2 linked regions of the Coturnix japonica genome follow. The protein of the gene in region 1 purifies or fractionates together with the protein of each later gene. This does not show direct contact. Links are inferred from orthologs where the notes say so. Each region holds a gene or a part of one and is shown in the gene's direction. Other genes may lie near its edges. The genes, in order: GTSE1 and ACAD11.

The links.
Region 2: the proteins of GTSE1 (region 1) and ACAD11 purify together in Homo sapiens (co-immunoprecipitation; 3 studies listed by BioGRID and IntAct, counting the BioPlex papers as one, with this or other methods). This does not show direct contact. The link is inferred for Coturnix japonica from reciprocal best matches to the Homo sapiens genes GTSE1 and ACAD11.

Annotation. Positions count from the first base shown.
Region 1 is NC_029516.1:14,058,877-14,062,697, forward strand, and holds part of GTSE1 (G2 and S phase-expressed protein 1), read left to right. Parts: intron 1-1,073; coding exon 1,074-1,218; intron 1,219-1,943; coding exon 1,944-2,327; intron 2,328-2,521; coding exon 2,522-2,594; intron 2,595-2,964; coding exon 2,965-3,207; intron 3,208-3,821. UniProt on the Homo sapiens protein: May be involved in p53-induced cell cycle arrest in G2/M phase by interfering with microtubule rearrangements that are required to enter mitosis. Overexpression delays G2/M phase progression.
Region 2 is NC_029517.1:38,933,582-38,937,402, reverse strand, and holds part of ACAD11 (acyl-CoA dehydrogenase family member 11), read left to right. Parts: intron 1-321; coding exon 322-483; intron 484-695; coding exon 696-860; intron 861-1,541; coding exon 1,542-1,689; intron 1,690-2,216; coding exon 2,217-2,338; intron 2,339-3,000; coding exon 3,001-3,107; intron 3,108-3,241; coding exon 3,242-3,365; intron 3,366-3,821. UniProt on the Homo sapiens protein: Acyl-CoA dehydrogenase, that exhibits maximal activity towards saturated C22-CoA.

The DNA of each region.
Region 1 (3,821 bases):
CAACAATCCTTGTGATCTTTAATGTTTTCTTAGTTGCAGGTATGTGAGTGGCAAGTCTAGGTAAGAAACAAATACCATAGGAAGAAGGCTGCCATAACACGCATGAACATAGATTAAGTTGTTTTGGAGTTATAGGCACCTACTTAGCTCTGCAAAACTCTGCTGCAGTACTACTTTATGCTTGTTTTCAGTGTACTGCTGTAGTTTCCTTGAGAATGGTGCAGGTGGTATAGGAAGAAGGCATGAGGTACGCAGCAGGAGACTGAGAGGCCAGTGGTACCTGGTGTTTGGTTTGGCATGTTTGCACTCATGGGGATTGGTTGTCATCTAGCTTGTCTTTCTGAAGGTGGCAGTAGCATACTAACAACTAAACAGGATAACAGTTTTACCTGAAGCTAACTGTCCAACCTCACACATCTGCATAACCCTACAGTCCTGAAAAGTGTTGTGGTATCTATTTAATTCATAGAATTATAGAATGGCCTGGGTTGAAAAGGACCACAATGAGGGGTTTCAAACCCCTCCCCTTTCCCCCCAACTATATGCAGGGCCACCAACTACCAGACCAGGCTACACAGAGCCACATCCAGCCTGGCCTTGAATGCCTTCAGGGGTGAGGCATCCACAGCCTCCTTGGGCAGCCTGTTCCAGAGTGTCAGCACCCTCTGTGTGGAAAAACTTCCTCCTAATATCCAGCCCAAACCTCCCCTGTCTCAGGTTAAGGCCATTCCCCCTTGTTCTATCACTGCCCACCCTTGAAAAGTTTCTGATGTAAGATATATCTTTCTCAGAGTCTTGTATAATCCTAATGTGAAAATAAGATAAAGGAGATTGTTTTAAGTTTATACTCAGGTTTGTGACAGGAATAAAAGTAACAGCCTACTTCAGAGAACTCCTATTTCAGTTCTGTACGATACCCAGATATAGTTAACCATTTCCAAGGGATACTGTTTTCTAAACTGTAACTCAAGGAAAAGGAATTTCTCAAACAGTCATACATGACTGTAATGCCAAGCAGAAACATAGCAGAGTAACATACTAAATACCACTTTTGTCCATGTTCTGTGCCTCAGCCTGGTTTAAAAAAAACACATCTGAAACTTCCTGGTGTTGCCAGTGGTCTCGCAAGGAAAAGCACTTCATCATCTTCATCATCAGTTTCCAGTGCGAGCTCAAGTCTGAACTCAAGTCTACCCATTTCTCCCATAGCAAAAAATGGTAAGTGCTCTTAATAAAGGTTTGTCCTATAAATCAGTTTTAAAGTAGATACGCAATTCTTGTCCCACGGATCTGAATGCTTTAGTGAAAAAAAAAAAAGCATCCTAAAAACACTTAGCAGATATAAATACCACAGGTCTGTTAGATAAAACAAGATTCCAAGCTATGGCAAATTCTTATTGTATACTTTGTTTCTGGGCAGATTAATAAGGTTTCTATCAGAAGTTAAGGCTTAGTAAGAATTTTTATATAATAGGAAGTATAAGCTGTCAAGATTTGTCCTATTATTGAAAGTAATAGACAGACTACAAGTAAAAACCATACTTGCAACCGAGAAAAGCTCTTATGGTGCAGTTCAGCCTGTGGTGTTAATTGGTGTAACTTAAATATTTTCCACTCAGTGCTCGTTTAAGGGAACCATCCCAACTCTGGTGGGCGAACATGCTGAAAATGTAACTTAGATTGCAAGCTGTTTTAGCATTCCTTGAAGAATATTCTTGTACTTAATTGCATTAATTTATAGTTCAGATAGTTGGTGAGGAGGATTTCTAAAGCTGACATCATTGCTTGAGTGTTTAGGGAGTAGGTTTTCATCTCAGACTTAAGTTGTTTCCTAATTAATTTAAATGCTGTAAAATGATGTTCCGTGCAAGGTTAATTATTTTGATTAATCATACTTAGCAGTAAACAGTGATTCAGAAATGAAACATAGCTTTCTGTTTCAGGGAAATCGAATGCAACTTCAAAAGCTGGTGTGAGTGGCTCTAAACCTTCATCTACTACAAACAGACTATCTCTGGCCAGACCAACCAGAGTGTCATCTATGCAGGCTGTCAGTACTGAAAGATCCAGCAAGCAAACGAGATCAGCTAGTACTCCCAAAATACCTAGTGCACAAAACTTGGCTAAATCTTCAGCTTCTGCACTAACGGTGCCATCTGAGCCTGAAGGCAGTGGAATTCAGAGGCTGAGGTCTCTCCCCAGTCTGCAGAAGCCAAGTCACCAAAATAAAGATGGAAGTACAACTAAAGGAAACCTGTGCCCAAAGCCCAAGGCTAGACTTCCGTCAGTTCCTACAGGTCAAACTCAAGTTCCAGTGAAAGCTGGAGGTAAGTATATGCTTTATGTAGCCTGTCTTCTGCTGATTTAACTTACAAAATCAAATGTTTCTTGAGTGCTTGCTGTCTTTCAATATGCTTCTATCTACCACCTGATAGAAACAAGTGTTCTAATTGAAAGGTATCTGTAGTTCTGAAAACTAAATATGAGTGTGGATAACTATTAACAAGGCATTTCTCTTTAGATATAACACCGAACAAGTCATCAACAAAAGCAACACCATCTCTTGGATTAACATTTTGTGGCAAAGTTGGAAGGTAGGACCAAATGGAATGTACTTCTTGGAATGTAACATGGGTACTTGTAGCAACAGTCTCCAAAAGCTCTAACTTTAAAGGCAAGCTTCTCTAGTCCCTTAAGAACCTCCAGGTCAGGCTGTGTTAATAACTTCTGAACTGATTTGGGGTGGGGGTGGGAGCTACATCCAGAACACTTCAGAAGGAGCCCCCTTTGTAGGGCTTAACTAGAGTTATTCTTAACATTTATTTTTGAAGTAAAACCCTATAGCTATTGACTTCTTGATGATCGCCTTTCAGTTACTGACCAAAGGTTAACTGATTCCTATTATCTCATAAAACTGAATAAACTTTCTAAGAACTTTTGGCTTGTTTTTGTACCTCTCCTCAGTGCCATGGCAGTCAGCACACCCCTGAAAGCTTCAGAAGACGGGATATTTCAGATTCCTCATGAGAGGCCTGTCTCCATGACTCCTTCCAGCTTGAAACGCTCTGCCTTACCTACACCTGTCCGTCGTATCTCAGGATTTCCAGCAGCAACTCCTAAAACCACACCAAGAACAGCATTTTCTCCACGCATTGAATCTGTTCGCCAAAGTTCCAGCTTTTCTACCAGGAAGACTCTCCCAGCTGGGTAAGGAGGAACACCCACCCCTGCTCTCCAGTGAAATGGAGAAATGAAATCAATGTAGTAGCTAAAATGCTTCTAAATGAAATAGAATGGCTTCCAATTTTCAAGGATCTTTTCCAAACCTTTAGAGTAGAACATCTGAACGTTTAGATACAGTATAGGCCTGATGTAGGTGTATATATCTTGCAATTAGTAAAATACAGTCAGCCTTAAGATCAGTCAATATTAACATTAAAGAGCTCTAATCTCCTAGGAAGCTACCTGAATTAGTTGAGCTACTGAGCAACTTAAACCACCTCAAAAAGTTTTATCTTTCATTTGAAACAATGTCTTGTACAAAGGGAGAGAATTCTACGCTACTCCTACCTACCCATCTAATTTCTGCAAGGATAATGTTGCTGCCTTCATGCCACAGTCCTGCGTCTTCTCACATGTGCATATACAGGATTCATTCAGGGCTGGTGAGATGAAAACTTAAAGTATGAATTACGCATTGCTAGTGAATATCTTCTGTTATGTTACTTAGCCTAAATGCCCCACATAGTCTTTTCTCTGAGTGAAACCAACCCACTGTCTCTAAAATTACGTTATGATGTGGATTAGATTATAATTCCTTA
Region 2 (3,821 bases), on another chromosome or scaffold:
GTTGGCTCTTGAGTGTTCTGGGATATGTATTTATAGTCTGAAATTGGGGATCTCAGGAAGAGCATTCAAAACATTTCTAATTGTATAAAACAAGAGCACATGCAAGAAAAGAAAGGAAAGTGGGAAGATCATGGGCTGTGAGATCGGTGCGTTTAATATATTAAACAAAGAGAATTATGTAAATGTATTAAATGAGGAAAGAATTTTTATTATATAATTAATATTGGTTCACTGCATTTGTTTAGCTGCTGAAACAACTAACTTTGCATCTCTTTGTCTATGCCTATATCCTACTAAGTATCTGATTTCCCATGTTTCTAGGGTCGCATCTTTCGAGACGCCTCGCTGCCTGAAGTGGGCCCAGCAGAGCGTTCTGCTTTGTATCTCGCAATGATAGAAACTTTGGCTCAGATGCACTCGTTTGACTTGCGGTCATTGGGTCTCCAAGGATATGGCAGAGGACCAGGATACTGCAGAAGACAGGTATAGCTCTTGGAAAAATTATCTTGTTTCGTCAGGTCTTTAATGATTTCATTTGCAAGCTGATTTATTCATCTTAGATGACTTGTAAAAGTAACCGTCGTATTTTAACAATTCAGCACCTTCATTTAGTTAAGTATGAGTGCACGGTATAAAGTTACTGCCATGTTCCAAGTAGATTCTATAGCGCTGTTAAAGTGCTTGTATTTTTTCAGGTGTCAACTTGGAAAAGACAGTATGATGCAGCTGCTCATACAGATATTCCTGCCATGAACGAGCTAGCCGAGTGGTTAGCAAACAACGTGCCACTTGATGATGATGAAGAAGCCCTAATTCATGGGGACTTTAGAATAGATAACATCATTTTTCACCCAACAGAGGTATTTCAAATGCATCTGTACATTTTGTACTTTGTAGTTCTCCATTATTGCCTCTTTACAGGGGTAGATAATGGCAGGACAAGGAGAAAATGTATTAAGTTGAGGGAGGGAAGATTTAGGTTGGATATCAGGGGGAAGCTCTTTATAGAGAGAGTGGTGAGGTCCTGGAACAGGCTGCCCAGAGATGTGGTGGGTGCCCCGTCCCTGGAAGTGTTTAAGAGCAGGCTGGATGGTGCCCTGGGCAGCCTGGTCTAGTATTAGATATGGAGGTTGGTAGCCCTGTATACGGCAGGGGGTTGGAGCTTCGTGATCCTTGAGATCCCTTCCATCTCAAGCCGTTCTTTGAGTTTGTTATTTCCTTGTACGTGTTACAGAGCATTCCCAAGGAATTGTGGTTCCTCTGTGTCACTGTACTTTCAGTATAGGGTCTGTTTTTTGATGTTTGGTTATGATCAGGAGCAAAAGCACCTGTATTTTCCTTATCAGCAAAATAGTTGCAGTAATATACTTCTGCTTACTTTTCTGCTTACTTTAAAATGAAACTACTTTTGCTGTAGACAGCTACAGTGCATGTTTTTTTAACTTCAAAGCAATTAATTAAGCTCCTGGATATTAAGTCTGTTGTCCGTGTGCAGATCCTTCATTCTTAGAATTCACTTGAGTTTTTTATTCTTATTTAAGGCTCGTGTTTTGGCAGTGCTGGACTGGGAACTTTCAACCACTGGTCATCCTTTAGCAGATTTAGCATACGCTACTCAGTTCTACTTCTGGCCTACATCCCTGAACGTCTTTGGTCAAGGATCTGTCTTCAATTTCAAAGGCCCCATAGGTATGAAGTTATCATCGTTTAGTCAAACTGAATTCTATGGTTGATTTCTATTTGGTAGATTACTTTTACAAACAACAGTAAAATTAACACGTACATCATTTTGCTATTGGAAAAGAGCTTTTCTGTAGTTTTCTTCATTGTAGGAGATGTGTTGGGAGATGGGCTGATAGTTTTAAGGTAGCATCTGTGTACATTAGTACATTAATTCTACAAAAGGTTATTTGGAACGTTTCTTAGAGATAATGGGGGTAAGCTCAAATTTAAATAGGAATGGGTGATGTTCACATAAACACAAGATAAAATTGTGGTGCAATGGATTTCCTGACTGAAGTGGAACTGGGGGGAGTTTATGTGGAATTCTTGCAACACCTGTTTCCTTTCCATATCTGAGCACATGAGGAATGATATATTACATTTTTTGCTGTACTAACAAAATGACTCAAGTATTTGAAGAATGAGGTAAATCCTGGTGGAGGCTGAGCATTCTAAAATATTCTGTTGGTGTTTTTTGTTGTTGTTTTTTGTAGAAAATCCCTCATTTGAAGAACTGATTTCTGTTTACTGCCGCTGCCGGGGTATCAGCACTACAATCCCCAACCTGAATTTTTTTCTTGCTTTGTCATATTTTAAACTGGCAGGGATATCCCAGGTAATACTCACTACTTCTGAAATATCACATTTTTATTATGAGTATATGTAGGTTGGTAATATTTTTCTAATGATGAAGTACTGTTGTGTGATAATGGGAAAGGTATTTCAGTTTGTCCCTTTAGAAGCAGTGTCTTTTAGATGCTTGAGACTGTGTACTCTAGGACAGAATTCTTGCTGCTTGAAGTATGTAACATGAGATATTCAGCCATTGTAGGGCAGGAATGTATTTTGTAGCTGCAGCCTAAGGATAAGGCTACTAAAGGTGTAAACCAGCTGTTAGTAATTTCGAGTAAGACTGTATATGCATGTAGGTAATGTAGTTGTGAGTAATAATGCATTGGCTGAAGGGACAGAGTGGACTTGCATGTAGTATCCAATACAGGTACACTTCAGGGTTTTTAATGGCTCTTTTGTCTTCTGTTGGTTTGGTTTTTTGTTCTTGTCCAACTCTCTCTTACTCCTGTCATTTATATCAGAAATATACCCAAAGCAGCATCAACATATCCCAGTAAAATCCATCTGAGTTCTATTTCTTCCCCCCAGTTAAGAACATCTTAACTTACTTTTAAGTGTAAGTTCATAGTTGAAGAAACCACCAATCTGAAAGAGACATTTTTAAGTACACAGTTATACCATCTATGCCTTTCTTTTTGGTTGTAGGGTGTATATGCTCGATATCTCATTGGAAATGCTTCTGCAGAGAATAGCCATGAATTTGCTAAGATGGTGAAGCCTTTGGCAGAAAAAGGCTTAGAGCTCTCAAAAAGGTAACACCGGTTTAAAGTACTGATCAGAGGCGAGGCAAGACTTACAGCTTCACTTATTTAAATGTCTCTATAAGGCAGCTTATATCATTGTGAGAGAAAACCTGGTCTTACTTATTGCATTGGATGTTCTTTAGATTGTCTTTCAGCAACATGCAACACAATACATCTGGAGAGCTGTTCTATCAAAGTAGGAAAGGCCAAGAAATGCTGCTGAAGGTAAAGCAGTTCATGAAGCAGCATGTATATCCAGCTGAGAAGGTAAAAGTCCCCAAAGTCTTTCATTCTCATGCAGATGTGCTAATGCATTGTGCAGACATGGAGGTGCTGTGCTCCTTTTATTTAGAGAGCTCACAGACAATATTTGATCTCATACGGTAACAGGAAACGTGAGTTGGGACTTGTAAATTCTGCATTTGTTAGATGATAATTTATTCATCCTAAAGCAGGTCCTAGGGCACTTCTGAAAGAGTGCTGTACATTACTAGAACATACTGGGGAAAGTACTAGGATTTCTAATACGTAGTTTTATTTAGTAACTAAACATTGGTACGTGGAATGACTGTTTTGATAATCTGCTAAACAGCTGACAGAAAACAAGCATGCTATTTCCAATTTATTTTAAAAAAGAAAAAAAGATGAGTTTTTATATCTGAATATATGGGAAACCTAATGCTTAGGTGTCAGCACTTTGAGCTTTTATTTGTGGTTTTGATT